2 linked regions of the Lepisosteus oculatus genome follow. The protein of the gene in region 2 interacts with the protein of the main gene of each other region in a biochemical or structural test. Links are inferred from orthologs where the notes say so. Each region holds a gene or a part of one and is shown on either strand. Other genes may lie near its edges. The genes, in order: zinc fingers and homeoboxes protein 1 and nuclear transcription factor Y subunit alpha.

Region 1 (16,310 bases), on a different chromosome or scaffold from region 2:
AACTGCATCTTTTTTTGTTTTACACAGCAGTCTAAATAATATCTTAGTCAATTACAAGTACAGCACGTTCAATGCATTTGGATATTAGAGAATATTTGCATAAAATACTGACAAAATAATAGCGTAATATTTCCTAATTATTTCTATATGTATTTGTTGAATTTTTTAAGATAAGTGTGATATAAGCATTCCCCATAGCTCTCTATTCTTCATAATAATTTCTCAAATGACTTTGCTGAACAAAGTGCACTGGAGTCTCTGTGTCAATTTGCTGGAATTCAAAACACACCAGGTAAAGAACAACATTATAACTCTATACTAATGATATTAAAGATGTGTTGCCTTGAAATGTGACTGTTTCAATAAAAAGAAAACTTTGTTCTTAAGTGGGTGTTATGAGTGATTATTCTTTCTCCTAGATCTCCTAAATTTGTGGAATTTTCAGTTTCTTATGAGACGGAGCAAAGTTTTTTGTCATCCATCTTTAAAGTACCTAAAAATGAACTTAAGGATATCTTTCATACAGCAATTTCCACTGAAATTATACAAATGCTGTAGCTTAAACAGATGATGGGATGTACAAATACCTCTCAGCACCGTATCATGATTTGTTTATGTTAATTCTAATAAAATTCATAATTAAACTCAAAACTGGGTATGGTGCTGATAGAATCCTGATGTTTCTCATACATTTCTGACGCACAGGCCTTAGGTATTTGCCAGTAGGAAAACTGGCAGCTCTCCCCCTCCAGGCAACTCACCTCGACGCTCACCTGGATTGGCGCTAATCCTCGGAGCCAGAGAGAGTGCGCCGGACACTTCGAGGAGGCTCCCAGGTCTCGCTGTCGTCCGTTTCGTCGTCTTCCTCATCGCCAGCAACGTCTTCGAGGCCCCCCGCTCCCGCCTCGCTTTCACCTTGCGATTCCTCCTCTTCCGGCTCCTCGTTCTCCACCCCATCGTCAAACGGGTCCGCACCCGTGTCCTCCCGCCTGTGCACCTCGGCGAACCAGTCCCGGACCTGCTCGTAGCCCATGTTGGATTTCGCCACCAGCTCGTCGAGGTCCTGCTCATTGAGGAACTTGTGTTTTAGGTAATACTCTTTAAGAATTTCTTTTCCAGTCTTAAACTTCATCACTGGTGGTGACCTACCCCAGCTAGATGACCTCTTGCCCGCCCTGGGTCTCCCTCTAGGCCTACCTCGCCCTCTATTTCGGGCTCTACCTCTTCCTCTCTTCCTGTATCCACTTCCATTTATAGCACTGATGTTGCCACTCTGGTAATAAAAGTACCATTTCAAGTTGCCGTTTTTCCAGGCATATCTTGTGTCTCCAAACCAGTTGACAATGTAGGACCTAGGAAGGCGGCTCTCTTCTGCGAGCTTATCATACTCCTCCGACGACGGCCACTGCGTGCGCACAAAGGCACTTTTCAAGACGTGGAGCTGCTCCGGGGTCTTTTTCCCGATCTTTTCTCTGCCCGACCTGCTCCTGCCGCTGGGGGGAGTTTGTGATGCCTGCTTGACGGCGACTGATTTCACAGGGTCGCTCTCCTTGCGTTCTGGCTTGGAATCAGTCGATTCCGGCGCCTTCCTCTTTTCCGTGAACCAGGCATCAATCTCCCGACGGGTCAGCTTGGTTTCAGACCTGAGTCGGCTGAGTTCTTCGTCTGTAGGTGTGGAGTTCTTCTGATAACTCTCCTCCAGTATCAGCAGCTGTTCGGGGGTCTTCTCTTTGAACTTCTGGAGTGTGAAGTCTGGGAATGGGTTCCAGGTCTGTTTCCGTGACTCTTTGACAGGGCCAGACGTAGGAGACTCTGTAGTTTCATCGCTCGAATCAATCACTATGGTGGCATTGTTGTTGACATTGTTGTTTTCATTGAAAACAATAACATGATTGTTCTTTGAGTTGCGCTGGTTGTAGCGCGTATCACTAAACCACTTCTTAATCTCGCCCTTTGTGAGATTGGTCAGTTTCATCAGCCTGGCTATCTCTGCATCACTGGCAAAGTGATTCTTCAGGTAGCTGGCCTTCAGCTCTGCAAGCTGCTCTTTAGACTTTTTAGGTCGCATTCCAAAATTATCAGCGCTCAGAGCAGAGTTCTCCTGAGGGGTCAGAGGAGGAGGCTGAACGGTGGTGGCCCTCTTTGTTTCCACTACAGTCGGGGTTGTCTGCATAGCAGGTTTTGGCAGATGTGTTTGATTGGGCACACCAGCTACTGCCAATGTGATGGGAGTGGTTACCGGTAAGGGATTGGTGCCACCAACTTGTGTCAGCACAAGGCCCGGCTGGCCAACTATCTGGCAGGTCTGTAGAATGGGCTGAAGGCCGTTGGCTGCCGCCGAGAGATGGGCAGGAATGACTGTGATTGTCTGTGGCACGGTGTGCACGGTGCCATTGAACTGCTTTCTCCTGGCTTCTTCCACCTCCTCTGGCGTCCAGCTCACACCGTGTTTGAGGCGCTGGGCAGAGAACCAGATCTTAATCTGCTCCTCTGTGTACTTTGTCTGCGCTGACAGCCCCATGATCTCCGACACCGAGGGGTAAGGGAACTTGTTGTAGGTGCTCACAAGAAGGGCATTGTTATCCATGGCCCCGTTGTAAGTTGGGATGCTGCTGACGGGTATCAGGAGCTGGGTTTGGGAATTCTGTTGGGCCTGGAGGGCCGACAGGACTTGAGCGAGCCCAGCTGGGAGAACGGTGGCAGAATTGATTATTGTCTTCTTTGGATCCTGCTGCGCGGAACTGTTGCTGACGACCACACTTGGCTTTACCGGTTCCATCGGGACCGGAGCCACCACCTCCACGGGAGCCGGCGTCCCGACAGGGGCCGTCTCCTTGGGCTCCTGTTCACCTTCGCTCTCATCCTTCACTTCATTCTCCTCAGCGGCCTTGTGGGGCACGGCGATCCTTTTGGGCTCCGCCTTGTTTTTCATCTTCATGATGGGGGTTTTGCTGAGCGGGATCCCAGTGGCCGTGGTGTCCTCGCCCCCTTCCTCGTTCTCCTGCTGCACAAAGCTGCCGTCGAAGGTCAGGTCGTTGACGGTCTGCTCAAAGATGGTCTGGTTATTGCGCTTCACCATGGTGCGGGTAAAATTGTCCTCCCCGGGATGGTAGCGCAAGTTGTGTTCTGAAAGTGCATCATACCTCTTGGTTAGAAAGTTGCACTCCACACAAACGTAGGAGGAGTTCAACACTACGTTGGGGTGCTCCGAATCCACGTGGAAGGTGAACATGTTCAGTTCCGTGGTCTGGAAGCTGCAGTATTTGCACTCGTATCCACCTTCCACCTTTTTAGAATCCATGGTTTCGATGTAGCGGTCCACATCCTGCATGTCTTCCTCGCTCGAGGCGTTTTCAGCTGGGACCGCAGCGCTTTCTGAGGGTGTTTCCACTGGGGCGTCGGTGCCTTCTTCCAGCTCCGTTATCATCTCCATATCCGGGTCCTGCTCCCCTGCTTCTGTGGGAAGGACCATGCAAGGGGTAGTGGACTTCCGTTTGCTCGCCATTGTGTGACCGTCCCCCCTCCCGAAAAGGCAGCGTTCATCAAATGACGAGTTGTCAGCCCGGCCCTCTTTTGTTTCTCAGGGGCAGCTCATTGTAGATTTACAAACCTCATTTCATTGCCAAGATTTTTGCGTCCCTGAAACAGGAAAAGAAAAAAAAACGCATATAATTCTGAAACTTCAAAAGCATCTTTCAAAGTCAGATGGACTTTTGAATTTGCATTGTTTTGGATTTAATATGACTGTGTTTGTGAAACTGAATGCAACAGGCAGGCTGATACGAAAACCTTATTGTAGAAGTGGGTGAATAAACAGGTTAACATTTAGATTTATCATAATATAAATAATCAATTATCCTAATACTTATATAGTGGTTTTTTGGACCCTCAAATCAAAGCACTTTAAGGCTAATGGGGGCTCCCCTCCACAAGTGTGCAGCACCACCTGGATGATGCGATGACAGCCATAGTGCACCAGAATACTCACCACACACCAGCTCTCAGTGGGGAGGAGAGCAGAGTGATGAAGCCAATTCATAGATGGGGATTATTAGGAGGCCATGATTGGAAAAGGCCAATGGGAAATTTGGCCAGGACGCAGCGGTATCACCCCTACACTTTTTGAAAAACACCCTGGGATTTTTAATGACCACGGAGAGTCAAGACCTTGGATTAAAGTCTCATCCAAAGGACGGCGCCTTTTTAAGAGTATAGTGTCTCCGTCACTATACTGGGGCATTAGGACCCACACAGACTGCAGGGTGAGCGCCCCCTGCTGGCCCCACTAACACCTCTGCCAGCAGCCACCTTAGTTTTTACTTAGTTTTTATCCCATCCAGGTACTAACCAGGGAGATAACAGTTGTGAGTTGCTGTGTGATATAGCTTGGTGGAGCAGTGGCACTGTGGCTAAGGATCTGCGCCTGTGGCTGGAAGGTTGCCGGTTCAAATCCCATGGCTGGCAGAGGAATCCTACTCTGATGGGCCCCTGAGCAAGGCCCTTAAACCCAGCTGCTCCAGGGGCGCCGTACAATGGCTGACCCTGTGCTCTGACCCCAAGCTTCTCTCTGTCTGTGTGTCTGTGTCTCATGGAGAGCAAGCTGGGTTATGTGAAAAGACGAATTCCTGATGCAAGAAATTGTATGTGGCCAATAAAGTGATCTCTCTCTCTTATATCTTGGTAGCCCTTTGTTAATGCTACTTGTATAAAATCAGTTATTGTTGTTATTATTGACGTGATGTGAACTACTTAGAATCTGCTGGAAGGAATGTTATATATGTTTTTCTTAAATCTTAGTAAAAACAGATTTACTGAGGAAACGGAAAAACACTTCTGTTGACGCTGCAGTGCCTGATTAGTGTAATTAAATTACTGTAATGCTGTTAGCAGAGAGGTTGCAATCATGAGATTTTCAACAAGCGGTCATCTAGGAGATACGACAAAAGCTATTTTTTGAAAATGTCCTCTCAGAATGTTTTTTTTTTTTCCTCAGTTGCCCTTTCAAATAAGCTCCAAGAATATCCTGGGTCACATACACTACGTAGCACCAGACTGCCTTCACTAACACCACTTCCTGAGTACCGAGAAACACTTCACATTTATTTTGGATTCTCGGCCAAGCTAAGGCGACAGGTTGTGAGATGCGTTCCGGATCAAGCAATTACAACAGCACAACCCGTCGAGTTTACGTCGGGCTATATAATAATACACCTTACTGTTTCGTAAGAGACTACAAGGACGGAAAATCACAGGGCACTCATCGTAATAAACAAAGGTATTCGCGAAAGACAAAACCGCGCAGGCGCACATCACTGGCATGCACGATTACTCTTACTGTAACACATAAAAAAGAATAAGAAAAGGAAATGGGGTTAGCTCAGGCTGCCTCGCACATACTTTCAATATAAATGAACGTCTCAAGCGATATTAACGGAATAAGTCTGTGTAATACTAAGCTTTCGAAACTATTACGCTAGAAGCTATACTTCCAGCGTTTTAAGCAAAAAATGCACAAAAGCATTCCTGTTTTCTTGCATCTCCATTACATTTTTACACTAAATAACCAGGTACTCATACGTTTAAGTATGTACACCCTAGGTGTGTGTTTTTAGGGAAATGTACGAAGCCAGCCCAATTATTCGCTTGATCTTTATATATAGGACGTAAGTTCAAAGTTCGGAATACTTCATGCCAGAAGGGATGTCGCCTTTACATTACAAAAAAACAAAAACATAGATATAAAGCAAGGCAATACGTCCACCGTCAAAACTGTTCACAAGCGATACAAGAGGCGACGGTAGGTTGACTAAGCCAATGCAGAATAAACTAATATGGTCTATGTAAATCTCCACATGTAAGCAATACGCTTAGATGCAACGGCGATTCATATTTATCTAGAAACAGAATTACGCTCTTTAACTTCTTATGATGCATATAAAGACCACTGAAGAAAGCCCGTGATCCATGGCCACTGTCTGTTCTCTTCCGTCTCCAGCACACTGTACTGGCTGGTGAAAGGGCTCCCCTCCTTCCTCACCCACCCCCAAAAAACCATCCTGTACCAACTGGGACGTGTGTGTGACAACAGTGATTCACCGCCCGCAAGGCCGACGTATGCAACACCCGTACATGACTTGGATACCTACCAGTATGAAGAGTTACGTGCGCTGGTACACTAGTGCAGTTGTTGCTGGGCTGGAACAGCGGAGGCAGGCGAGATGAAGTGCTGCCGCTTGATGCGGCCAGAGATGCACAACAAAAATACAGTTACAGGGCGCTTTTCCAGCTGCGCAGCGCTCTCCGGCGCTTTCAGCGGCGCTTCGCGTCCTTTCAGGCGTCGATCAGAACAGACACGTCAGTGAAACCACGGCGATCGGCATGATATTTGATAAAGACCGTTACAGTATGTGTCAATTCAGAAGGGTATTTTTTTTAATCACCCGGGCGTCACCATCGATGAAATACGTTCCGCGTCATCGCAAAGCGACTTACCCCGACTTCGTTTTTTTTGCCTACCCGATTTCCTGCAGCGAGTCGCGCTGCTCAGGCGGGGGGGCGGGGACGTGGGCGTGGCCTCTCCCAGTGTCCTTTGTGAGTGGACGACACCTTAGAGACTGCCCGGCCCCCAAAGGCTGGAAACGCCCCTCACCTTGTGGCAGCCCGGCAGGTAAACGGGTGTATGAAGACCAGCGGGAGATTGAAGTTTATCAACGACACAACACATGCAAGTCCAGGCAGCAATTGTAATGTTTATTTTGCCGAGTCTCTTGAAAGCGGGGTTTCTTTACTTTGCTGTGCAAGAATTATGCTCCTGCGACCACATGCTGCAGCTATCTCGCTTAGGACATAATCCTCTTAAGAGGTGCAAATTTCCAGCGAACGTGTCCAGCAAAACACCCATCACCCCATTCCTAAACAGGAGTTACTCATTGACCCGAGTCACACAACGCCTTGAGTTTGATCTTTTATCTAGATCTATGCACACAGACGTCTGGCTAGAATGATGTTGCAATTGATTTTTTTATTGTTGATAATCCCTTGAACTTTTTTTGCTTCACTTAGTATAACGTTATTGTTGTCCTATTGATATATTCTCTATCGGCGCAGCCCGTGATAGACATATCTCTCGGGTCACCCAGGGCGGGGCTTCACGATTTCGGGTAGGAAAGAGGGTGACGCAGCCCGGCCGCCCTACACCCTCACCTCACACCTACGTAGGAGCGCCTGTAGATACCGGCAGAAAGGGCGGCATCTGCCGTCTGTTAGAAGCTTTACGTTTCATTACGCTAAAAGGCGGATAGCCAGTCTTCCAGATAATGGCAAATAATAGTTCTAATATCATAAATTCTACACTGTCTGGTAAAGCTTACATACCACACTGAGAAAAAAAAATACTATGCAAAGATCCTGCTTAGATACCCACTGTACCCTATGCAGGACTCTAAGGTGTATATTACAGATGACCTAAAATGACAAAACATATCAAGTGTAACGTGTAAAGGAAACTTGGAAGACAAAAAAAAAACCCTTGTCATATGAAAGTCATCCCAGGTGGATAGAAACGAAGACCTAAATGTACAATATCACACCACCCCGTGAAGAGGGACAGAAAGGGCATGGAATGATTTCATAGCGACACCGTGAGCCCCCTGCAGGGCTGTGACCGCAAGGACAGCCTAGTCAGGAGCGACGTCTTAAAGCAAAACCAAAGGACAAAATAACCATGACGTAGAATGATGGGTTCTATAGTTTGTGGTGTAGTTAAAAATCGCTTCAAGTGTGATTAAGGCTCTGCAGACACTGGGAACCCAGTGGCTGTAGGATACATTGTTTTATTAATGGCAGTCCTTCGGTTACGGAATTGCCCCTGAGCAAGGCATGACTTTCCCCGACAAGTGATGAGCCCTGGAGTCTGCAGTGAAGGTCTGAAGCCCTGCAGCTACAATTTATTCATTACTCAGCAGGACTGCTTCGTGAAGATTAGGTGGGGTTACATTCATTCATATACAAAGCACCTCTGCAATCTGGCTTGTGATGTTTCTACCCAGCACCCTAAAAAAAAAAATTTCTACAGCTTTGTACACTGCCGACTGACATTCTGTTTTTTGCGCTGTTGCAAACTACTAAATGTCACAAAAATATCAGAGTACAATAACCACGAACAAAGGTCTGAGAAAACTCAAGTACAGCCTAGTATATTACAGTATTACAGTAACCAGGCCACTAAAAATGTAGGCCTTGCTATATAGACCAAGGCCTATAAACCAACTATACTATAGGGCAGTATTTATTTCCACAATGACAACAAAGAAGCTGATACTCTGTTGCATCACTTGCTTCAGCTTAAAAAAGGGGTCTTTAGTGGAACACAAAGAGGTTTAGTACTGCTCAGTGGGCATCAGACGTTACAAGAAAAACAACTACAAGAACTGGATTGCTAAAGCATTTAATGAACTTTAAGCCAAATAACACTTCACCCAGAAATCTCTAAATGTACTTAAAATTCTAGTAAAATAAACACTTTATAGTTTATAGTCTTAAGCTCTGTACAATATTTAATAAGAAACTGCAATGCCTTTTTGACACCTGCTTCATTTATTTTGGAAAAAAAGTCAGAAAAGTTAAGTGAAGTTCTCAATTTCTTTTTTCATTTCCTGTAAAAAAAGAAGAAAAGGACAATTTATTCTTCATTCAGAAACCAAGAACAAATCTGCCATATTTCCCACATCACACTTAAGCTTTGACTCACAATGTAAGTAATTAAAGTTTACGTCAAACAAATCTTCCTTTTGCACATATTACTTGATAATGTATATAAGCAACGGCATATTTGGCTTGTGATGTTTCTAAGAAGACACAGACAAGGGAGAAATTTCAAGTTGTTTTTGGAACTGCTGAATTCAGAAGCAATGTACATTTCTTGAATTTAGTCAACATCTTTCAACAGGATCCATTATCTTGTCCATTAGATAGTCTCGGTCTTTTCTACCATTAAACAAGACGCTTAAAACCTTCGGGTATAAAACCCTTATTGTACCTGTATTAGTGCAGTCTTGTCGTAATTTCTCCGATGTCTATAAATGCACTGACAGAGCAGAGCATAAAGCTTCTCCAGCTGATACACCTCAAATCCCTCAGTCTTGGCAATCACCCGGTCCAGTAAATTCTATTAAAAAAAAGAGCCTCGTTATTTCACTCACATCCGTTTCAGAGAAACAAATCAAGTTAGTGAAAGCAATCATCTCCTCTTGACCTTTCCTTCAGTGCAGCCTTTTGTTGTTCAAGACAAAGAATTTTAGAGTTGTGCAGAAAGGGCTGTTCTGTTTTTATAATTGATATATTTTAGATTCAAGACCTGTATTGTTCTGTAAGCAAGTTATTTTGGAATCTGGTTAATAAGGGGTTAAGTTAGTGCTCATTTCATTATCATTATATTTAGAACATATTGTTACAGCTTTAGGTGACTTAGAAGTGTCTCTTAGATTTCAGAAACAGTTTATGACACTGGGAAGAATAAATTAAATACTTCTAACTTCAAAGGAGAGAGGATGTTTGCTGAGGTCTGGGGATCCGTTGAGCAGAAACAATGCTAAAGTTTTGCTAAAGGCGAGAGCACCTACTTCCTGATCATCCAAATCAAACCTTACTGGAGCTAAGTATTTGAACCTTGTTAGAGAGAACGTGCTTTTCTGTGTTTTTATGGAACTTGGGTTTCCTGGGTAAAAGATACCTCAGTTAGAAACGTCTTTCATTAGGGTGCATTTTTATGGATAGGGATATAGGCTCCCATTTATTTTGTGGCATCCAGGGTGCAGGGAGATTTAACTGCAGGTTACTTTGTATTTAGTTAGAAGGCAGCTCATCACTTGTGTGTAGGCATATTAAGAGTTTAGTGCTTAGTGGCAATCTGGGGATTTATGGGTGAGCAGAAAGTTAGGCCTCTGAAATGCCTCGTTTGTAAATACTGTATATAATGTAACTTTGTGTGTTGTATGTTTTGTGTCTTGTATAGTTTATTGTAATAAATATTTATTTTAACCAAGTGTGCCTGGATTATTACTCCTCTCAGCAAAGCTGTGCCAGAGAATAAATAATTCACGTGCCTCTAGTTATACCAGCCACTCGGGTAATTGCTAGAAATCTCTTACAAGTCGAGAGTTATGAATAATTATTTCAATTGTTGACTAAACCACTCAGTCAAATACTGATTTTCACCATTTTCATAACCCCCCCCCTGTAACAATATTTTAAGTTCTATGCAAGCTTAATTATATTATTATAACATTTGAATGATCTTTTTCACCTAAAGTTGAAGACACCAAACCAAAATAAAATATTTCACACTCTTCTTAATTCTGAAGTACTAATGCCTGTTATTGGAAGTGTTCTGAAAATGGCAAAATACTGGTTTTACAGCTGGCTGTTTTTAAACAACACCAAATTGTTGTCATTGTAAACCTCCCCTCCCCCCCCCCAGATTGAAACACTGTAATCCTTTGTGCACAATGTAAAATTGTGATTTTACATTGCACAGAAAAATGTTAACTAGGGACATAGAGAGAAAATTTTGCTGATCAGCCGAGAGGATACCTTCAGCTTCTGGTGATCAACGACTAGCTGTGGGGTCACTTCTGAGAGGATCTTCATGGCTTTCTCCACGTTGATCAGCTGCTGCTGCTCGACCTGAGAGCGCCGGCCTCGCGTCATGCGCAGGGCATTCTTCTCTGCAGGCACAGGCGGACAGGATGACAGTCACTACACGTTATTAGCAGACAGTACGCACATAGAAACGACTCCTTGGTTGTTTCCTTGAAGACCTGCACTGTCTTCTGATTAAAAAAAAACATTAACAGGTTTTTTCAAAATCACTTAATACACCTCTATCCCTGCATATTCTCCAAGACATATTTTTAAAAATGGTTATGAAATCTCTTAAACTCTAGACTGTTTAAATGTCCTTTTCCCCCTATGTAGACAGAGGTGAAAAAGTGTTTACATGAATGACAACTATGAAGCTTGTGCCACACCACCATTCTTTTAAGCCTCACTACTGTATACCTTTCTCCATCTCCACCCCTAACATGCAATGGTGCTACAGCTTTCACTTGGGGCAGAAACCAAACATACTGCTGTGGTTTAATGCAACACATAGTCCAGTCAATCAAGACAAACACACAGCAAAGAGGCAGATGCACATGTAGATTATTAGGAACAAGTACAGGTTAATTCCTCTCCAAAAAAATAAGAAGCAAAAAGGACTGTTTCAAATGCAGAGTGTTCTTCAAGTGTGTACTACCCAATAAGGATCTGCAACCAAAATGTTATTTTGCATTTTATTTTCCAACATGGACTTAACCTCTGTGTTTCTCTGCAGCACGCATGATGACACAACTACACAACCGAACGTTATTCTATAGCTGTCAATATGAAGTGAAGTATGTTCCAAAACCTAAAAAAGAAAAGCACTGATTAAACTGAAACCAAGTTCAGGGCAGTGAATGTAGCCATCAGCTCTACACACCTCTGGGTTCTTCCTGATTGTCTGTTCCATCAGACTCTGCAGGGGTGGAAGGCAGTTTCTCTGCCTGGTGTTCAAGTTGTGCAGGTTCATCAGTTATTGGGTGCTTCGCTTTTATGTTCTCAGGAGCTTCAAGATCACCCTCCCCTGCGGAGTCCTCACAGCGCTCCAGCTCAATCGGCTCCAGACTGGACCCGTTGCTAAGTAACGCGTCAAGTTCATCACAATCTTCGCTCTCGGCTACTTCTTCCGCCTTCTCCTCTCCTTCTAACCCGAGTCCATTCACGCCCTCTTTGGAGGTTGCAGATGAAGTCTTTTTCTTGGCAATAAAGCCATTACTCCACCGGCATCTCCTGCGCTTTCTTTTCAGAACTGCTACTGGCACATCGATTTTTGATGTGTGGGAAATAATTTCATAGACTTGTAAGGTTGCACATATGGTGTCTGATGCATCACTAATATTACCAATACCTACAGTAACCTCCTGAAAGCTAATGTCATTTCTAAATTGAGATATTGTGTGATAATCTCAGATACAACTTTTAATACTGAAAATAGTCCTCATAGAGAACTCTCTGCATGCTGTCCGGGTATATGGCTTGTTCTTATCCTGTTCTCACTAGTAGTGAACTCCCGGCAGCTTGTTCTTATCCTGTTCTCACTCATAGTGAACTCCCTGCGTGCTGTCCTGGGATATGGCTTGTTCTTATCCTGTTCTCACTCGTAGTGAACTCCCTGCATGCTGTCCTGGGATATGGCTTATTCTTATCCTGTTCTCACTCGTAGTGAACTCCCTGCATGCTGTCCTGGGATATGGCTTGTTCTTATCCTGTTTCTCACTCGTAGTGAACTCCCTGCATGCTGTCCTGGGATATGGCTTATTCTTATCCTGTTCTCACTCGTAGTGAACTCCCTGCATGCTGTCCTGGGATATGGCTTGTTCTTATCCTGTTCTCACTCGTTGTGAACTCCCTGCGTGCTGTCCTGGTATATGGCTTGTTCTTATCCTGTTCTCACTTGTAGTGAACTCCCTGCGTGCTGTCCTGGTATATGGCTTGTTCTTATCCTGTTTCTCACTCGTAGTGAACTCCCTGCATGCTGTCCTGGTATATGGCTTGTTCTTATCCTGTTCTCACTGATAATGAACTCCCTGCAGCTTGTCCTTATCCTGTTCTCACTTTAGTGAACTCCCTGCATGCTGTCCTGATATATGGCTTGTCCTCATTCTCAGCAACATCCCTGCGTACTGTCTTGGTATATGACTTGCCCTTTTCACTGGTCCTATGCTCACCATTTCCACAGCGGTAAAACACCACTGAATGTCATGTGAGCTGTAAATCATTCATGATCTGCTAAATATTATTGTTCTCTTTCCCACTTATGCTTAAGTTCTCAGTGGTTAAAATCCATCTGATTTTTACTTACTGATTTTTAGAGCAGCATACCAAGGTAAATGCGCTACTAATGATGAGGTCTTCTAGAAACAGACATTTCTTGACTATTACATTTATCTTTCTTTTAATGAGTTATCTCCTTTCTTTAATAAGTCTTCATCCTCCATGCAGGTTTTACTGAAGCATTTAAGTCTTACCTTGGTACAAAAATGTACCTTAAATAACACTTAAAATTAAAAATTGTGACCGTAAATTCTCACCTTGAGGGCGTGGAGTACTTGTGGTTACAGGTGCTGCAGATGTTTGGACAGAGTCCTTAGCTACGTTAGACTCATTTTTCTTGGAATCAGTAGAATTAGTCTGCTTTGGAAGCACGTGGTAATAGGATGGAGCAAACTGTGAAGTTGAAAAGCCTTTAAAAATAAAAAAAAACTAGTTACAAAACATTTTACTACTTAAGAAACATGAATAGAGGGCAATCAGACCATCTTTCTCATTTGGTAACTTAGTACATAAAGTGAATAAACATTTCGAACAGCAGCCTCATGATTATACCACTTGGCTGGAAAGCACGTTCCTGATACCAACAACTCTTTGCGTATACAGTAGAAGTGTTTCTTAAACAGACTCCCTTTTAACTTCCATTTGTGGAGCTGTGCAACTGTTTCACTGTCAAGTTTGACCATATTGACCCCATCCACACCCTTTAGGATACTGTATATCTTGATCTAATCTCATCTCATCTTCAACTTCAAATATGTAACACCTTTAACAAATCTGTAAAGGACAATCGCTGAGAGCAGGAAATTATTTCTTGTTGTTTTCTGAACTCCTTCGAAAGCTATATTATGATTTTTGTGGTATGCTGACCAAAAATAATTATTAATAATTGTAAATTAAATATTAATCTTATAAATTAGTGCTGCCTTGAGTATTACTCACGCATTACTTATTATCAATACACTTTACCTCACTGTTCCAGAGAACAAAGAAAACATGCCTATCAGTTGCTGCTTGGAAGGTGGGCAGCAACTGTTAACCTTATGTTTTACCTCATTTATTCAACATATTTGCACCCCCTAGCTTTTTACAATATCATGTATGGTGACCAACTATACAATGTCACATGCTTTAGTGTTATCAGGTGTGCTTGGTGTTTGTTTAAAGAATGTTTAATATGTTAAACAATGTCTGGGAATACGCATAGATGTTACTCGGTATAAACAGGTAATTTACTTTCTTCACAGGTTACAGGTTTTTGGTGCTAGTAGTCAGATCGCCTCCATGTTTTTCAGTTCCATGATGAAATTATAATCCGGTATGGTACCACAGTCTTTTGTGCAACAAAAAACAAAGGTATCCAGACTCTAATAATATTTGTATAGAATTATACTCATTTCCCATTTGTAACAAATATTATAAACCACAGGGTTGCAGCCGAACAATAAAGACCTCAACTTAAAATAGCTAAGAGTGCATGAAAAATAAGCTTGCAGATTTTGTTTTACTTCTCTGACATGTAATTTCTTTTACCAGCAGAATATATGCCCTTGACCTGGCAGACATGTACCAACATGACAGAATTTCCTATGACAGCTTCAAAAGACACCTAATTCTAGAGATTCAGAATTCAGTGGGAAAAAATAAGTGAAGGAAAACAGAAAATTAGGGAGAGATTTCTCTTTCATTTCTTAATCCCTCCTGCCACAATGGGCAAGTAAACAGAAATAGGGACCCTTTTATCAGATTTGGATAAATATCACAAAAAGAATGTTAACTTACAAACTTACAGTACATTTCTGCACATCTTAGGGTGCAAAGATGCTTCTAGTTTTATAATCAGTAATTCTGTACAATTATGTAAATAAGGTGCTGATCGTAGAAAGAGTATCCATTAAAAAAAAAAATCAGCAGTGCGTAGAACTTACTAAACAAATAAATACTTCACCTCTTTTTTTCCGGGACTCCTGAATATCTTCACATAGCTTCTCGAAATTCTCATCAAGTTCTTCTCTAATGATTGCATGGACTGTGTCCTTCAGAGCACAGGCTCTGTGGCGTATTAATCGATCTGCAACACAGACCAGGAAGAGTACACAAAAAGCCATCTTAAAAGTCCGTTAAAAAATAAGTTTCCATATTTTTAATATAGCTATAAAACGAAAATGTTTACTATTCCCTTTAAATTGAAAGCTAAATCCCAAATTATTTTTTATAACAACTATTAGTTTAATAGAATAAATGACTAAGGAAATAAAAAAAAACAAATGGTTGGGATATTAGATTATATTAGCCCAGCAGAGTTTGATACATTTCCCCCTTAAATGTATGGTACAATAAAACCTTATAAAGAGAACACTAATTCTGCATTCATATGTTAACTGTATCACACTTAAGTGCATCCATCAGCGTCTTTAATTGTTCTCCATGTTAAAATGATCACACACGTACAAAGGAGACTGTTACCTGCAGGATCCTTGTCTGGATTGTATTCTAATGCATTTTTCCAGATCAGGTCTACATCTTCCATGTAATCCTTGACAGTGACATACTTATGCAAGTCTATCTTGCAAAGCACAGTGGACAAGTCCATGGGCTGCCTGATGACCGTTTTATAATCAGGAACCTAAACAAGACAAATACATCAAAATTCAAGTACAAACGGTTGCCTCGTTCAGTCTCCAGATAAGAGACGAGACCTTCTTAGTTTCAGCACCACAAAAGGAATTTTACTTGATCAAATGCCCTCGTCTTGGTCATTACAGGGCAGCACTTTAGTTTGAGACGTTGAGCACGCAGAGAGAAAAGAAAGAGGGAGACACGGGGAGACGGGGAGAGCCACGTGCCTCCTCGATGTCCACGGGCTTGGTGAAGGCTCGAAAGCGCTTGTCCATGGCCAGGCGGTTGGTGACGTCCCGCAGGAAGAGACGTAGCTCCCGCAAGGTGTCTTCCTCCTGCTCTTCCAGCCTCTGCAATTCCGCCTCCGACAGCTGGCGGGGCGGGGCCGGCGGGGCCACCGGCAGCACCTCCAGCGCCCGCATCACTGCGTACGGTACAGCACAGGCAGGACGTGAGCGCCCACACAGGCCCCCGGCCCCTCCCACCACTGCACTGCCCAAAGGGGGGCGCCTCGGCATCAGAGCCTGCCGTGGAAGACCCCTCCTTCCACTGAGGCATAACTGGCGACAACGGGCGGTGAAGAACAGAGCCAGCTTCATTTCGTTCGCAGTTTTTAAGCTAACTTCCATGAACTGCTCAAGTTTGCTATGGAACGGGAAATCTGACAAAAGCAGATGAGCACTTTTTAAATTCATACGAAAAGATTTGTGAAAAAGCTAAAATTGACTTTTGACTTGGAATTTTGTCCTATATCTGCCCCCCCTCCACCTCCACAACAC
Region 2 (16,129 bases):
CGATTCCTAAGTCTTCCAAACCCTTTTAGGTAATTTTTAGATTCAATATAATAAAAACAATGTTTTCAATGAAAGGAAAAACCATTCTTGCTGCCACAGAGAAACTCTGCTGGGTTGAAATGTGTTTCCTGTTTTGTGATGTACAATTATTGAGACTTGCAGAGGCATTTTTATGTGCAACTGTTTTAACAGTTGTGCGCTTCAATGTTTTCTGCTTGTTTGGAACTGATTTAACCCAATGGGTAAGAGGGGGGAATCTCCAAACTTTAAGGGATTTGGAATTCAGTGCCATGAGAACAACTTGCTTGTATATATGCCTGCTTCATGTTAAATGAAAAAATAAAACATTCCAGTGGTGAACAGCACTAATGTGGAGTACTCTGGCTATTAACAAAACACAAAACACATTAGGTTTTTAATGCTCTCATTGATTTTTTTAAATATAAATCTATATATTCAACCCCAAAGCACAGCACTGGTGATCTGCAATTCCAGAAACAGATCAAACTGATGTGCGGCTTAAGTCTTATTCCCAGAAAATTGTATTAGGAGAACAAGTGCTGTTTAAAACAGAGACTGCTCACCTGCTGCAGACCCTGTGCTCCAGAGACAGGCACCTGCATGATGGTCTGGCCCTGACTTCCAGGGACTGCCTGAACCATGATTGGCTGGCCAGAAGAAGTGATGAGCTGGCCGCCACTCACCTGCACCATCAGCGGCTGACCCTGAACCTGCGGGGAAGAGGGAAGAGACGCAACCACATTGAAGAATCAGCTGGAGGGACACAGAGCGTTATACAGTGCACGCTGCACAACAGTGGAGCCACATGCATTTAAAACTGACGAACCGCTGTGTAGGGGATGTGGGGTGGCACTGATCAGGTGGCATGATGCAGCATTCATGATACAGCAAAAAAAAAGTAGACTTCATCTACTCCTCAGGCCACAGACAGCACAGTTACTGAGCAATGTCCACAATGGACTCAGCAAAGACAGCTTGAGATGAGAATGATGAAAAAAACAATTATACACTTATGCACAGTGAGCGCTGCTAGCAGGCAGGAGCACAGCTTTGACATCTTCCTGACATATTTACACAGCAGGACAACCATGCACATCTGTTGTCCCTTTTATACAGAACATGCAGGATGGGACCTCCTGTAAATATACCTTTTTTAAAATAATATCTGTATATCCTGTTCCTCACCAAGTCATGATAATTTTTCTTATTTCGTTATAAAACATCGCATCTGATCAAACTGTGGACATTTTTTTTTAAAAGAATGACAGGTCGTCAAACATTCAAGGTTAAGAGGGACCACTGGTACAAGCACACATGTTAGCGGTGCAACTAGTTCTATGAACGAAGTTGTGTTTTACCTTTTTATCCTTTATTACTCCAAATATACATATATCCACGCACATGTTATCAGTTGTCAAATCCTATCCTAGCAACACTTTGTCCATGGATGGATGGGCAATTCATAACACTCCATCAACTTATCTAGCACATCTTGGCACAGGGGCGCATCTGGAAAAATCCCATGCAAACGTGGCAAGAACAAGCGAACTCCACCCAGAGAAGTGCCTGGGGCTCAAATCAGAACTGTGGGAGATATAAGGCAGCAATGTCCAGCGACACTAGCATGCTGCCTCCAAATAATGCAGTTTGCTAAATAATCTGAAGACATATAACTCCCAATTACTCCCCTACTGGATGAAGGACACTGGGTTCTATATCCTGGGATTCTACTCTCAAGACTTGCACTCCTCTATCCCACTATAATGCAGCGTGCTCTACATTTAATACTGTGTATAGGAGTTGCTAGGCAGCATTTATTTTTTGCATGCCTAGCTGAATATGAGGTGTTCCTAAACTACTGATCTTCCATCTACATCCTCCAACCATCTATTAGGTATGCAGCACCGTTTTATCCTACCTATTTCTTCCTTTGTCTTGATCAGAGTCTGAAGCCCTGGTCTTGGAGATTCTAAGGGTCCTCTTACAATTTTCTCAAACTGAACTCTAAAGACCTCAACTGGGCAAGCCAGGTGCTCATGTTAATTTTCCAGTCCTCCGCTGACTGAACTTTCAAGGCTCCTAAGAAAACCTGCAGTAAATCCTGGACCACAATTGATAAACAGTGGCCCTAGCATATTCTCACTGCCAACTGCGAGTCTGTTAAGCTTTCTTAAACACCGGATACAAAGAGTGTCAACAGAATAAAGACATTCAATTTCTATCTGTCAATCAAGGATCTCTGCTGTGAGATGCCAGGGATTCTATGCCAAAGTTGGTATCTAGTTAAGCTTATATTCAATATTTAGCACAGCAAAGCTCTTCAGGATACTTCTTTGACACAGGTCACTGCATGATTCCTCAGGCAAATGTCATGATGCAGGTGCACGCTTTTTTATGGCCCAAAGGTCACAATGCAAAACATTCAATGAGCGATGACAGATCTCCAATGATGCGGCTCAGTTGGGGTCACTGCACAGTCAAGCCAAGTTGTGCAGAAGCTGCCAAGATAAAACGAGTGCAGCCCTGCCTCCCATTTCTATGGAACCTGAGGTCCGCTGAGTGGTATGTATGTCCTGCAGTGTGCAATAATTCAACAGCATGCTGGGCATTCCTTGGCTGTTTTGCTTCTCTTGATGTCTTATAATCTAAACAGTCCAGGTCTTTGATTTAACCAGTGGCGCTAAAGCTTTATAAATGTTAAGTAAAATGCTTAAAACGGCCTATGAACTCATCTTAATGGTCCTGCACTTAACTGAAGCATGATGTAAGCCCCTTTTACCCTTAAAATGCTCTAGGATGAAAAGCACTTCTGCAATGCAAAGTATTAGTAAGTCAATTAAAAAAGAAAACTGCCTGAACCTGACTGAGAATAAATACCACTGGCAAGAACGCGAAAGTATGGGTTTGGACTTTCTGATTCTGTTTAAAGCAAACCTCCTAGAGTGTCTGCAGGAAGTAGAAACTAGTTTAGAGCTCGTGGCTCAGATTTGAAGAGGAACATGGCTAAGAGAGTCCCGAGAGGCAAGAAGCATCGGGCAGGGTTGTCATGCAGCACGGCGGACGACGACGCAGCTGGATTTCACACCACTACCTGGAGCGTCTGCACAGGCTGGGCCGAAGCCGAAGCCACCTGTGCTTCTGTCTGCAGCTGGACAGCGGTCACCGTGCCCTGCGACCGGAAACAATGCACATTACCACACTGTGTCCCGCAGCTGCCTCCTGGCGCTGTCCACGCCCACATGGCCAGGAACTGGCACACCAAAATAAAGGATCCTACAGTCTGGGGCTCTGCCAGACTGTATATAAAAACAATAAAAACGGAGCTTCCTAATATAGCAGGGATGTCCAATTTATCCCTAAGATACCTCTGCATCCATCCAAGATATGATCAGCAGCTTTCAGCACATCCTTAAGGATCAGGTCATACATGATGCACAAGATTAAACTACCGGACAAAGAAGGGCTTGAGCCTGCACCATTTTTTACAACAGGGCTCTATAAAGTTTGTGAAATGGTTTATCCTGCACCTTCCTTTCTGCTGAAAAAAAAAACAGGAGATGAAGTGTATTCTCAGCTAGGCCCCACACGCTAGAAGGTCCAAACAGATGAACTGTGACACATACAAGAAGAGTTTGATTAACGTTTTTTTGTTAAGAGCCAACAGAGCCCCAATGTGCCTGAAATTCTTAAGAGACAAACATTTTTAGCCTGTTTAAAAAGAGAAAGATGGCTGGGCTTTTGAACAGACTTAAAAGACAAAAATGAGAAAAGGGTAAGGGAATAAATTATCTGAGAAATAGATCATCTGACAGAAAAAAAGTTAGGGATATAGTAAAAACATAATTCACAACCTTTAAAACATAATTTTGTTTAGATAAATTAAGAACATGTTTAAGAGCAACATTTTTCTACATTCAAAAACAATTTTACTTGACCTGAAAACCCATGGCTAGAACAGCACCTGGGGTACTTCTGAGTGCTGGAGGGCCAGTGTGTCTGCAGGTTTTCTAGGACTATAAAAACCTGAGAGGTGTTGATGAATTGGTCCAACTAGGCCAATAGTGAGCTTTTTTAGGTCATTAAGATCTGAGCTGGGATGAAATCCAATTGGTATCCAGAAACCTTCAAACCAAAATAGGACTGAGGGCTCTTATTTATCTCCGATTCCACCACAAGCTGAAGCCGCAGTCTGTCAGATCCAGGTCAGCGTGATTGTACCTTTCCCAATCAAGAGTTGCCATACCTGTTGCTGGATCTGCCCTGGAGCGGCCTGAACCACGATCTGCTCCCCACTGCTACTGCTGGTGGTGGTGTACTGCTCCATTGCCAAGCCCCCGTCCACCTTCAGGTCTCTTTAAAACAATCCGATTCTGACATGGGAAACACAAAGAAACACCAGGTCATGCACAGAAAACCAGAAACCACTTTTTCACAAAGCAGCCTCCTCCCGGGAAATAATGGCATATGGGTAACTAATTTGGAACTAGCAGTTAGCCGGTTATGTAAAAACTGTACAATGTTGTTAATGCCTTCTGATGTTGGTTTTGTGTTAATTTATAGGTCTTTTTGAAATTGGTAGAAACATAAAACATTAACAGAAGTGGACAAAAGTACACAAATTACTAGCCCGTTCTTTTTACATAAAAACATATTACATGCTGAGCTGTGGGCAGGGCATAGGGGCAGACGTTTCGCAGCAGCAGCGACAGTTCTGGTCTCGTTACTGAAAGGTTATATATTATGACCTGTATAAACGGGTACAAATGTAACTGGCTCCAGATAAATGTTAGAAAAACAGCAATAATTTTTAAACAATAATTCCATATTTCCTTCCATTTTATAGTGTCTTGCATATCAAAGGCTCACAAAGCACTTTATGGTAAATATGTATGCATACATATAGGAGAGGATTCACTCCACTCACTCAGAATGGAAGCAATTCTGCACCAGCAGCCCCACACAGGAGGTCTGGTGAAGAACGGTAAAGCTATTTTTCCAGAGTGCTGGGATTTTCACCTGCTTCAGTTTTCAAAACATAACTGCTTTAAAATTGATGTCTTAAGGGTCACCCATAAAGACTGCTGGATTGTGGCTCGCCACTTACTGGGAGACCAGGACCAGGGCTGCCCATTCTTGTCACACACACATGATATATATGCGAAGATGTTCAAGTAGGTAGCTGTGTCAGCATGCGTAGGCTACAAAGGAACAAGTAAAGGTTTGTTCCATGCTGAAAAGATATACAACGTGTGGGGTGTGGAGTCTTCTTCAGAAACGTTGCCTCTTTTCTTGGAATAAACCTTTACTTGTTCCTTTGCACACACACAGCAGTGTAAAGGTGCTAATAGAGAATGACAACTGTGCATTATGGAGAGCGGAGTTTAGCTGGACACCCGTGTGACTGGGGTAGCTGGGTTTGTGACGAACCCCCGTTTCTCTCTCTCCCAGGCAGAAAGCCCCCGGGCGGCGCTATACAAGACCTGGCACATTCTCCGCATCGTGCCTCTGTTATGAGAAGGCCACGTGTTCATCCTAAAGCGAGTCCACCGTTCTGTTGACTGAATAACGACATGCGCTGGGTGCATTAGGTACCCCCAACTGAGTGCACCCAGGTAATCTGCGTTGTGCAAAGCCCTCGTAGCAGGCTGAATCACAATCGTTACACAAGAGCACGCAAATGCAAAGAAAGCATCTGCTCTCCAGCGACTATAAGGAGGATAACCTCGGCAAACCCACTCAAACTTTTGTTTTCAAGTCATATTTAGATCACATTTTAATCTTAGATTAACACGAAAAGGCGCTCGAGGTGTAGACGCCATTTTCCCCCGTCAGAGTGCAGTCGAGCTACTGCTTCCAACTGACCCGAGTCGGGGGTTGTAATCCATGTAATATAATATAAACATTTTTTAAACGCTCACAAATTCACAAATGCTGTTTAAAGCTGATTCTAAGTGCTTTGCTAATGCTACACTACCAAATACGCGTGGAGTCTCAATTCGTATCGGTTCAGGACCGTTTTTTCACTTGTCTCCCATAATGTTTTGGAAAACAACTGTTCCAAACGGATTTAAGCGTCTATTAAGAGCCCTAAAGGCTTTAACTTTATTTTATAGAGCAGGTCCAGCTACAACCCGTTGTTTTAGGGCGTCTTGTGACGGGGCTGGCAGAGCACAGAACCCTGCAAAGACTCGTCATATTACTTAAAACAAAAACAGAAAACGTCCATAAAACCGGGACTTAATAGGTTTCCAAGATGGCTGATATTTTAATTTTGACGAACTATTTTAAAGACTTTAAAAAATACCCAGAAACATCGTGTTGTGTCGTATCTGCGCAGCAATTACTCAAAACCCCCTGTTTGTTACGCGTATGGGTACAAATCTCATATTTATTCAGTTATATAACCTACAATCCCAACCCATTACCGAACTGGGAAACATCATCCGTAAGGTCCGTCTCTGAACTGGGGCGAGGGGTTACCCCCTCTCTTTAAAGAGAATAAGATCGTCAACTAAAGCATTTATCAACGAGCGAAGAAGCAATAATTGTACCGCTAGTTCAGCGGTTCATCTCCACCTTCATCAACGGTTACTTGTTATGTCCGCGTTGGGCTTTTCTGCTTAATAAAAACCCAGATCTGAGCGCTTTATCCCACACTGTAAGGACAAAGGCGACTCTGTGTCCCCACTACACCCTCTCCTTTTTACAGATGCGTAGTTTTAGCCGACTGCATCCCCTACTGGAGTTAGAAACACGGTCCTCTGTGGGTAGATTTTAAGTGTTTTATTTCTTCTAAGAGGCGCCTTTGCGCAGTACACCGTGCGAAGGTCGCCTGGAGCCCAGCAACCCTGCCGCACACGGCGGGGCGGGCAGTGGTGGGAACCGGCTGCCCCAGCCCGGAGAAAACCGGGCCTTTTCTTCCCCCCACACGCCAGACCCCGAGAAATAAAGACGGGTCCCGCTGACGGTCCGCTTCAGCAGCCTTTTCAGGACGGGCCCTTCGCCCCCCATCCGCCATCTCAAGCCAATTTGTGCGCGTCTCCGGCTAGGTGTCTTTATGGTATTTTTAATTCCTGTATTTTTGTGGTGTTAGTAATTTGGTTGGTCAGTGACACACCAATCCCCTGCTGCCGGCTCCCAGCCCCTCCAAGCCGCGCTCTCTCTCACCGTTTCTCCGCCGCCCCGGTTCCCCTCTGATTGGCTCCAGTACCGATCCCCGAAACCCAATCACCGAGCTTACGGCGAGCGAACAAAATGGCGCAGCGCGGTCTGCACCGACAAATAGGACAACTTCGTCTCCCCGCCCCCCTGCCCGGAAGCTGCGCAGGCGCACTGTCAGCCGCTGAGCAGGGCATGGCCGCTGGGCAGGCGCATTACCGCCGGCGAGCCGAGCGAGGCACCTGCGCTGTAACAGGCTCGTGGGGGAGGAGGCTGGTATGAATATTTTATACAAGTACAGACTGAAGCTTTAGGATATCGGTATTAATTTATAGTCCAAACACCTGAACCTCTCACTGTACTCCTAAAATAGGCCGTGACATCAATAAACCTTCGAATTTGATTTTTTTAGCCACAACCTATGCAGTTCATATCAGTTTTTAGCTCAATCCAATTGAAAAACGTTATCTCACTTATTTGTTTTGAAGTCCATCTGGATGTTTCATGTTTGTTGTGTGTGCATGTTAGGGATGAAGTTAATACAGTTTTGTTCAGTTTCCTTGCAAGAAATATGAACACAAAAACCACCAGATATCCCTCTTATTAGACGCTTTTCATTTAAAAAATAAGAATACTGAATATAGTGTAAAACAATATAATCAGTACCTCCAGTTTGTGGATGTACGTTTGGAAAGTATTTTTTTTAAAAAAACGTAATCAAGTTATAACCATTCTTCTTTGGATCACTCCATATCTTCTTCAGATAAAAAGCCTCTAGATTGCTTAGGGGTTTTCCATTTGTGAAGTGGGTCTATTAAGGGTCATTGCCTGTACTGTGCTCAAAATGGATGCGGCAGTTTGGAGGTGTCCGCCATGTTGAATTTGCTCCTCCCACCTCCCCGTCACAAAGCCTAGGAAAGGCAGTCGCACATCGCACAGTGTAAATGGTCGATTTATCCGTGAAGGCTGGGTTAATCAACCGTCGTTCCTGATGAAAACGTGCGTTTGGCGTCTTTTCTTATGTTAAACAACTGCGTAGACGGTATGTATTTATAAAAACCTGGTATAGGCCCTTTATAACGCAAAATAGAGTTATGCTTTAGTTACAGCTGCTTTCGCCCTGTAATGTCAGTACACACATATCGGAGTATTATTGCTGCGGTGCTGTCGAAATGAAGTTTTGCTTCCCGACTTAAAGCTTCTTTAGCATTGGTGTAAAAATAGACATTTAAGGTTTGTGTTTTTGGTCAGTGAAAAATTGTGAAAACCCTATGATCTCCCTGATATCCTAGCAGGTACTGTTGTTGATGAAGATGTGTCTGTAATCAACTCCCTTTCAGAAGAAATGACATTTTGGTCAACCCAGTTACTCAGAGGACACCACGATTTCCATGTTTAAACTTAAAATGAACGAAGAGGAGAGAGAGTATATTACAATGACACAAATGTTTGCGAGATCAGCGCTGCCTTGCAATCAGGATTTGGTTGCCGTTGGCACGTTAACTAGTTTGTAGATCGTTACTTTTAGGGAACATTATTTCTGTCTTCCAGACGGCTCCCAGGTCCACTCAGATTGCTTTCCAAATGAGTCTATGAGTAAGGCCCATGGGCCTTAATGGCCTGAAAAGGGACCTTTGTAAGAACAAAAGTTCTTTGTAAAACATCGTAATCCAGCGTTTTACTAAAGAGGCTGCTGAAAACACCACGGTGAAAAAAGTTTTATAACCATAACAAATAATGAACATTCAAAACTAAAATAATAATAAAAATCCTAATTCCTGTGTAAAAACATTTTAATGGAAAATTTCAGCTGGTTTTAATTAAAGGGAAATGTCGCACCATCTTCTCCGATAAAGCTGGTAACTTCAGGAGCTGTCCAGCGGCGTGATGTTTCTCAGGGCCGTGTCCTCCCTGACGGGGCTCAGCAGGCCTGGCCGGGCCTCTGTCCTGCTGAAACGGGCCCCACCAGCCTTCGGGTTTCCAGAACCGGCCCCTGGTCTCGGGCAGTCCAGCCGGCAGGAGCGGTCTTGGGCCGGCAGGGTGTCGGGGGCGGAACTGGTCCCAAATCCTGACCGGAGGAGAAGGGAGCTGGATCTGTTCCTGGAGGATGGCCCAGAGGACCTGGAGGAGCTGGCGGGAGAAGTGGTCAGGTGAGAGGGCACACTCTTGTTTCCCCTTCGCACCCGTGCGCCACGGACCAGGCAGCCTCCTCTCGTTAGCAACCTTACCTGTTGTAATTCTGTTAGTCATTCTGCACGGCCTTGCACAGAGGTGAGCAGTGTTGTCTTGCAGCGCTGGGGCCCTGGTTCAGCTCCTGGGGTGCTATTTGCATAGTGTTCGTACGTTCTCCCCATGTTATTGTGGGTTTCCTCTGGGGGCCCTGGTTTCCTCCCACAGTCCCGAGACATACTGGAAGGCGAAGTGGCTTCTGGGAAGATTGGCTCTGGTGTGAGTGTGTGTGTTTGTGCATGCCCTGCAATGTAGTGGCATCCTGTCCAGGGTGTACCCTGCCTTGGACAGGCTCCGGCCTCCCTGTGATACTTGATTGGGTGAAGCAGGCAGAAAATGGATGGATGTTCTGATGTTGCAATTCATCATATCTGGTTGATCGTATGTCTAAATGAAGGAAGGAAAGTTTCCCTACTTGTCCTTTAAGAGGCATCTTCCTGGCTGCCTGCAGCAGCAATGACTGAGTTTCTCTGTGTCCCTGAGAGCATTGTCAGTGATGACAAAGACAATTCATAATAATAATTCATTAAACTTATACAGCACTTTTCTGGATACTCCACTCAAAGCGCTTTACAGGTAATGGGGATCCCCTCCACCATCACCAATGTGCATTCCCACCTGGATGATGTGACAGCAGCCATAGTGCGCCATAATGCTTACCACACACCAGCTATCAGTGGGGAGGAGAACAGAGTGATGAAGCTAGTTCATAGATGGGGATTATTAGGAGGCCAAGATTGGTAAAGGCAATTGGGAAATCTTTACCAAGATTTCCCAGGATGCCCGGGTAACACTCACTCTTTTTGCGAAACACAACCACAGAGAATCAGGACCTCTCATCCAAAGGACGGTGTCCTTTTTACAGTATAGTGTCCCCATCACACTACTGGGGCAATAGGGTGAGGAGCCCCCTGCTGGTCCCACTAACACCTCTACCAGCAGCAACCTTAGTTTTTCCCAGGAGGTCTCCCATGCAGGTACTGGCCAGGCTCCCACCTGCTGAGCCTCACTGGGCTGCCAGTTGTGGGTTGCAGGGTGATACGGCTGCTGGCGATTAAACAGGCTGCTGCTCTGTGGAGTCCTGGCCTCTGTCTGTATGTTCCCAGTACTGCTCCACAGTCTCCAACATTCATCCGTAAAACTTGGAGGGACTCCTGTCTCCTGCAGTGCCGAACGGAGGAAACGGAAGGCAACGAAGCTCCGCAGGCTGGCGAAGCAGTTCTCCCCACCTGGCCCCCCAGAGAGGAGGCTGACCTGGGACGCCATGGAGCAGATCAGGTGAGGGGGCGCCAGTGAGCATGTGCACAGGACCCTCAGCAGACTGCTGGCAGCCAGATCCCTGCAGGCGTCTGCCGCAGCCCCCTGCCACGTTTCTCAGCAGGAAGGGAAGGCAGGAGGAAAACACTGCCGTAACTAACGATCCGATCCGCTGGATTTTCCACCGTCTAGGCTGATCCGAGACATGGATCCCCAAGATTTACGGCATTTGTGTAACATCCAAAATACATTTAAATTAAATATTAATTCCTACATAAAAATGAGTTTTAAATTTAAAATGGGTGCATTGTTGCACAACGGCAGCATGTGTCCTTTTAAGAGAAAATAATCAAGATCTTCATTTTGTGCTGACACCTAAAACAAGATACCTTAGAAACTGCAATTCTGCCTCCTTCAGACATGTCAACCTTCTAATGCATTGTATAACTTTGATGTATTTTCAGACACAAACAATAGATATACATTCAGGACAACAATAGAAATGCCTGTATAATCATGTACAATAAAATGTATTGCAGAAAATATATACTCAAATATGAAATAAGATTTTGTTTTGGATAATTAAGATCCAGCAGATAGCAGCATGATGTGTTGGAAAAAGTCTAAAGTGACAGTGGCTCGTTAAGGTTCTAATTGTCACTGCAGACTCCCTGCATGTCTGCCGTAGCCTAACGAGCGTGACTCGTTATTAGACTTGAAAAACAAGCCATGGAGGGCAGTAGGTAGATTGACATTTACTGAATGCGGTAGAGCTTCAGTTTCTAAGGTAATGAACTCACAGTACTTTTTTAGCTGTTAAAACAAACTGAAGACTGTGATTATTTAGTCTTAAAAGGACACGAGTCAATGCCTCAAACAAGCCAGCTCTGCCATGTCTTTGAAGTTGAAAGTGCTCTGTCTTTCTGGAAATGGCTGAATGATATCCTCAGATCATATAGCTACTAATGACTGCGTGAAGGATGGGCTGAATAACTTCCTAGTTTTTCACCCATGTCCATATGTAAATATATTTGTGAAATGCAATTTCTGTGGCCTTCTCCACCATGATCACAGCCACTGGTGTCTGAGCTTAGCAGCAGCTTGTCTTGTCTCACCTGGAATCCTAGCCCTCTACAGATTTGGCAGCAGGTCTGTTTCACTCCCTGTTTCCTCGCAGGTACCTGAACCGTGACACTCCTGAGGAGTGGACAGTGGGCCGGCTGGCTGAGGGGTTTGGCGTCAGCTCCGATGTCATCCATAGGGTACTGAGGAGTAAGTTCATTCCTCCGCCAGAGAGGCAGCAGAAGCAAGATGGCAGGGTCTTTGCCAGAACGGGATGCCAGTCTCTCCTGGGCAGCGTCAAGCAAGATGCAAGGCTGGCCCAGGTGCCAGCCACGGCGGCAGCCATGTTGACCCCAGGGGTGGGAGAGGTGCAGGCCGAGAGAGGCGGCTCAAGTTTGGCTTTAGGACAGGAAGCAACAGCGGTCCTCTTGGCCTCTCCCAGAGGAACTCTGGCTCCTCATGGCACAGCCCGGCTGGGCGTCCCGGCCACTCAGGACCCCCCACGTCTGGGCAAGATTTCCGAGAGCAGCCAGGACATCACCCCAGGAGAGGAGGAGGGTGTGAGGGTCCTGGATGACGAGGAGCTGGAAAAGCTCTTAGCAAACCCTTCCCCTAAACCGCTGGAGGTGGTTCAAGTTGGGAGCGAGTTCTACGATGGTGAAGGTAACTTCCTGTACAGAATATGAGTGCTCTGTTCTCCGCTTTGGGGCAGAAGATGAGACTGCCACTGTCCTGCTAAACACAGCCTGAAGAAGTACCCAGCTCATCTGTGGGCTGCTGAGTGTGGTTTGCCTCCCACATCCACAGCATAAGAAAGCACCTCGGTGGAGTGATGTACCTCCAGGACAGGAAGAAATACATCTAGATGGCGGGGCTCGTGTGGGGAGAGGGGGGGTGGGTGATGGTTATTTTTAGCAGCACACTACACTGTAGGATTGCAGTCCAAAATGTCAGTTTTGAGCAAATTCCTCCCTCACCGAGTTATCATTATATGACGATACCTGCCCGATTTAGTTAGATATTTCAAACTTTGCCTTTAAAGTTTAGCTCATACTTGTTTCCCTCATTAGTGAAATGCTTCCCACTGATGAATTCGAGCCCCGTGTCTGTGTAACTGCCAGACTGTGGGTAACCAGCAGCCCCTGCTTTCCCTGGCTGCTCTGAATCAAGGGCAAGGAAACCTTGACATGTTTCTGTGTTTGCGGTTACCAGCCTGTGAGCTTTTCCCAACGTCGGTCACTAAATTGAGCTCAATTGACCCAAGTCTTGAAGATCTCCTCTGTAGTTAATGAGCCAGATGAAAAAAACCTAACAGGAGGGATGGGCTGTCTTCCCCTGCTCTAAATTTTCTACTGATTCAGGGCTGTAGGCGACGAGAGGGTTAATTTCCCTGTAATGCAGAGGAATTCAGATGCTGGTTTTGTTTTTGTCCCTTTGTGGCCACTTTTACTGCTTCTCCCAGCTCTTCAGGTGCTGCTGTATTAAAGGAGGTCTAATAAAACCGACCTTTCAGAGCCAGGACTGGCACAGGCCTGCCAGATGGTTGTTCTCCAAAGCCTGACTAGCTGAGCACCGAGTTGGAATGCCTTCACTGGAGACTGATAAGTCTAACAATGGGAAAGTATAGATGATTGAGTGACATCCATGCATTAAGATAAGATCATTTTATTGGCCATATACAATTTCTTGTAATTAGGAATGTCTTTTTTCACATACCCCAACTAGCTCCTCAGACACATAGACAGGGAGAGAAGCTTGGGGTCAGAGGGCAGGGTCAGGCCTTTATACGGCACCCCTGCAGCAGTGGGGGTTAAGGGCCTTGCTCAGGGGCCCAACGGAGTAGGATTGCTCTGCTGGAAGTAAGATACGCCGATACGAACCGGCAACCTTCCAGCCGCAGAGCCACTGTACCGCATTAAAATAGCTACAAATGAGCCTGTGTTTTGGAATGTTTTTTTTCCCCCAATAAAAAGCAGAGGCATTATCATTTTGTTTTTATTGTCAATTTGAAAAGAAAAAACCTGCTTTGCAAAGAAAAGTACCAGTAATGTTTTTTGTAAACCAAACATTTTCAGATTTTTTTTCCCCAAATATACAGAAATAAACAGCCAGTCCAAAGGTAGAACAGTCATTTTATGTAGCGACCACATTTAACCCTATCTACATACAATTACAGAGAAAGAATGGAAAACAGTTTCCTCTGTCTTCATTACAGCTTTTCCATAGCTGGCACTTTTATCAGAAACCCAACCCCAACATCTTGAGATTCCATTCTCATCCACCCTCCGTCAGCCATGAATGAGGAAGAGGGGTATAAAGCCTGTTGATAAGCTAATATGGTAAAAATGCAAAAATGAACAACTCCAGTACTTGAGGGAAGGAATCCAGCAGGTTTTCCAAGTCTCTACAAAAATCAACAGGTGAACTACTATTGGATCAGTTCAAGTTAACATTAACAGGAAATCATTGAGATCACTGAAGAGTTTGTACAAACACCTACAGGCCCCACCCCATGTCAGCACAGGAGCTGTGCAGCTCTGGTATAATTATTCAAAAATGAATTATCTTTACTCTCACCAGACTCCAGGAAACAAAATTATTTATTAATAATTCCCCCTTCTCTGAAAACTCCCAAAGCGTATGTCCTCTACATCTGAAATGTGGAACGCATTACTTAGATCACTGCTCTGGAGGGTGTGAGAAGCAGCATGTGAGGCTTGCTGAAAGCCGCTGTGTGTCGGACTGAACCAGATCTGCACGCCTGTGCAAGTTCTAGGAACTAAGTAAGCGGAAGTAAGCAAGGGACAAAGATGCCAGCTTTGCAGCCATATTGATGAGGAGCTTGGTGCGGAACCTTCCACCTCGCTTCCTGCAAGGCGATCATGATCTTCCCTGTTCTTCCACCCCCAAGATTCTGGGTACTTGGTATTTCTTTTGTAGTAGCCTAGGGCTGCCCATTACTGGTTTTTGTCCCCCACCCCCAGATTTATTTACCCATTGAAGCTCATCATTTGGGCAGGTTGAACACAATGCTGCTGGACTGTGGCCTTTGGGGACAGGAGCTGGGTGCATCTTTCCCTACAGAGGGATTCTTTCAGAGCCACAACAAGACCTTGGAGATGCCTTCTTCAATCAAACATGCCTTAACTCCAGTACTGCAGAAGAGTACATACAGGCAAAAAAAATATCCAAGTCCACGGAAATATGAAATCAGTTTTTGTCCCAAAAAAGGTCAGTTTGGAACAAACCAAATAAGCTACAGATCAACTGTTAGGGTACTAGGTAATAGGTAATTGTGTCAGTTTTCATGCTCTTTAAGTCATTACTAAACCAGTTTTAACTGCTTTCATGGTCTACAGGACACAGGTATTTTTCACACAGGCACTTTTGCAAGGTGAGCTAAAGAAAACAAAATGAAGTACATTCACACGCTGACAGGCTGAGCCGATGCCATAATAGTGTAAGGGACACCGCGCCACCCTGCCTCTCCGAGTCTTCAGTGGGTACACGAGCCTGCATTCCCTGGGGACACAGTTGCATCTGTGCCTGCCTGGCTGTGTGGGCTGGTGGGGTTTGAGCAGACAGCCTTAAGCCCCTTCTGCCCGTTTGGCCACAAAAGAAACGTTACTTTTCATGCACACGAGGCTGCAGAAGGTGTGTCCAGACCACAAAGAGTTGGACAGACGTTGAAACGCAACCCAGGCTCACGAGAGGCTGTGATCTACAAAGGCTTAGGCCTCCCAGCCCCCAAGGCATGTGTGGGGAGGGTAGGACTGTCTGGAAAGCAGCAGTCATAACAAAAACACACGTTCTGCCTCCTGGTTAACTTGGATTCGAGATCATCTTCCAGCCGTTCAGACATTACAAGCACAGAAAGTGAAAAGAAAAAAACAACAGTGTGAAACACCATGAGACCCAGTTACAAAAGCTGGAGAATGTAATCAAAATGCTGAGTCTTTTAAAAGGCTGCTTGCTCTCCAAGGAAGCTTTTTTGGAACTTGGATGCGTGAGGTCCGAGATGTAGTGTATTCGTGTCCAGATGGCACCCGTTGTTGTGCCCACCTCTACCAGTTAAGGCTAAGAGAACCACAGTACCGCAGCATGGCAGCTGGCAGAAGTCCAGACCCATGATCCCCTAGAGCAGTGGTTCTCAAAGTTCTATGGTCCGCAGACCGCTTACACCAGGTCACAGATGCGTAGGACCGCCTATGCCACTTCTTCCCCTGTAAAAATCACCACCTATCAATTTACTAAAAATAACTAATATTGAATTAAATTTGATGAAAAGTACCAATATTTTTACCATCAAAGCTGCCTATTTTGCAACTCTTTTTATTACTTAAAAAGTTCATGTGAAGAATGGAGCTGCTTTTGTTGTGCAATCAGAGAAGTGATATCTGGA

Evidence for each region.
Region 1: the proteins of nuclear transcription factor Y subunit alpha (region 2) and zinc fingers and homeoboxes protein 1 form a complex in vitro, tested with the Homo sapiens proteins (2 studies listed by BioGRID). The link is inferred for Lepisosteus oculatus from reciprocal best matches to the Homo sapiens genes NFYA and ZHX1.

The regions. Positions count from the first base shown.
Region 1 is NC_090705.1:10,703,890-10,720,199, reverse strand, and holds the start of zinc fingers and homeoboxes protein 1, read right to left. Parts: upstream 7,202-16,310; 5' UTR 6,147-7,201; intron 6,038-6,146; exon of another isoform or gene 5,911-6,037; intron 5,898-5,910; exon of another isoform or gene 3,989-5,897; intron 3,640-3,988; 5' UTR 3,506-3,639; coding exon 785-3,505; 3' UTR 762-784; intron 1-761. Other genes in the region: ATPase family AAA domain-containing protein 2, read right to left, coding at 8,622-8,654, 9,038-9,166, 10,591-10,724, 11,522-11,893, 13,173-13,325, 14,861-14,983, 15,379-15,538, 15,759-15,955. UniProt on the Homo sapiens protein: Acts as a transcriptional repressor. Increases DNMT3B-mediated repressive transcriptional activity when DNMT3B is tethered to DNA. May link molecule between DNMT3B and other co-repressor proteins.
Region 2 is NC_090700.1:39,808,396-39,824,524, forward strand, and holds the start of nuclear transcription factor Y subunit alpha, read right to left. Parts: upstream 7,313-16,129; 5' UTR 7,189-7,312; exon of another isoform or gene 7,139-7,188; intron 6,567-7,138; exon of another isoform or gene 5,502-6,566; intron 4,392-5,501; 5' UTR 4,346-4,391; coding exon 4,265-4,345; intron 3,191-4,264; coding exon 3,110-3,190; intron 732-3,109; coding exon 585-731; intron 1-584. Other genes in the region: ngrn (neugrin), read left to right, coding at 9,067-9,329, 10,576-10,686, 11,843-12,413. UniProt on the Homo sapiens protein: Component of the sequence-specific heterotrimeric transcription factor (NF-Y) which specifically recognizes a 5'-CCAAT-3' box motif found in the promoters of its target genes.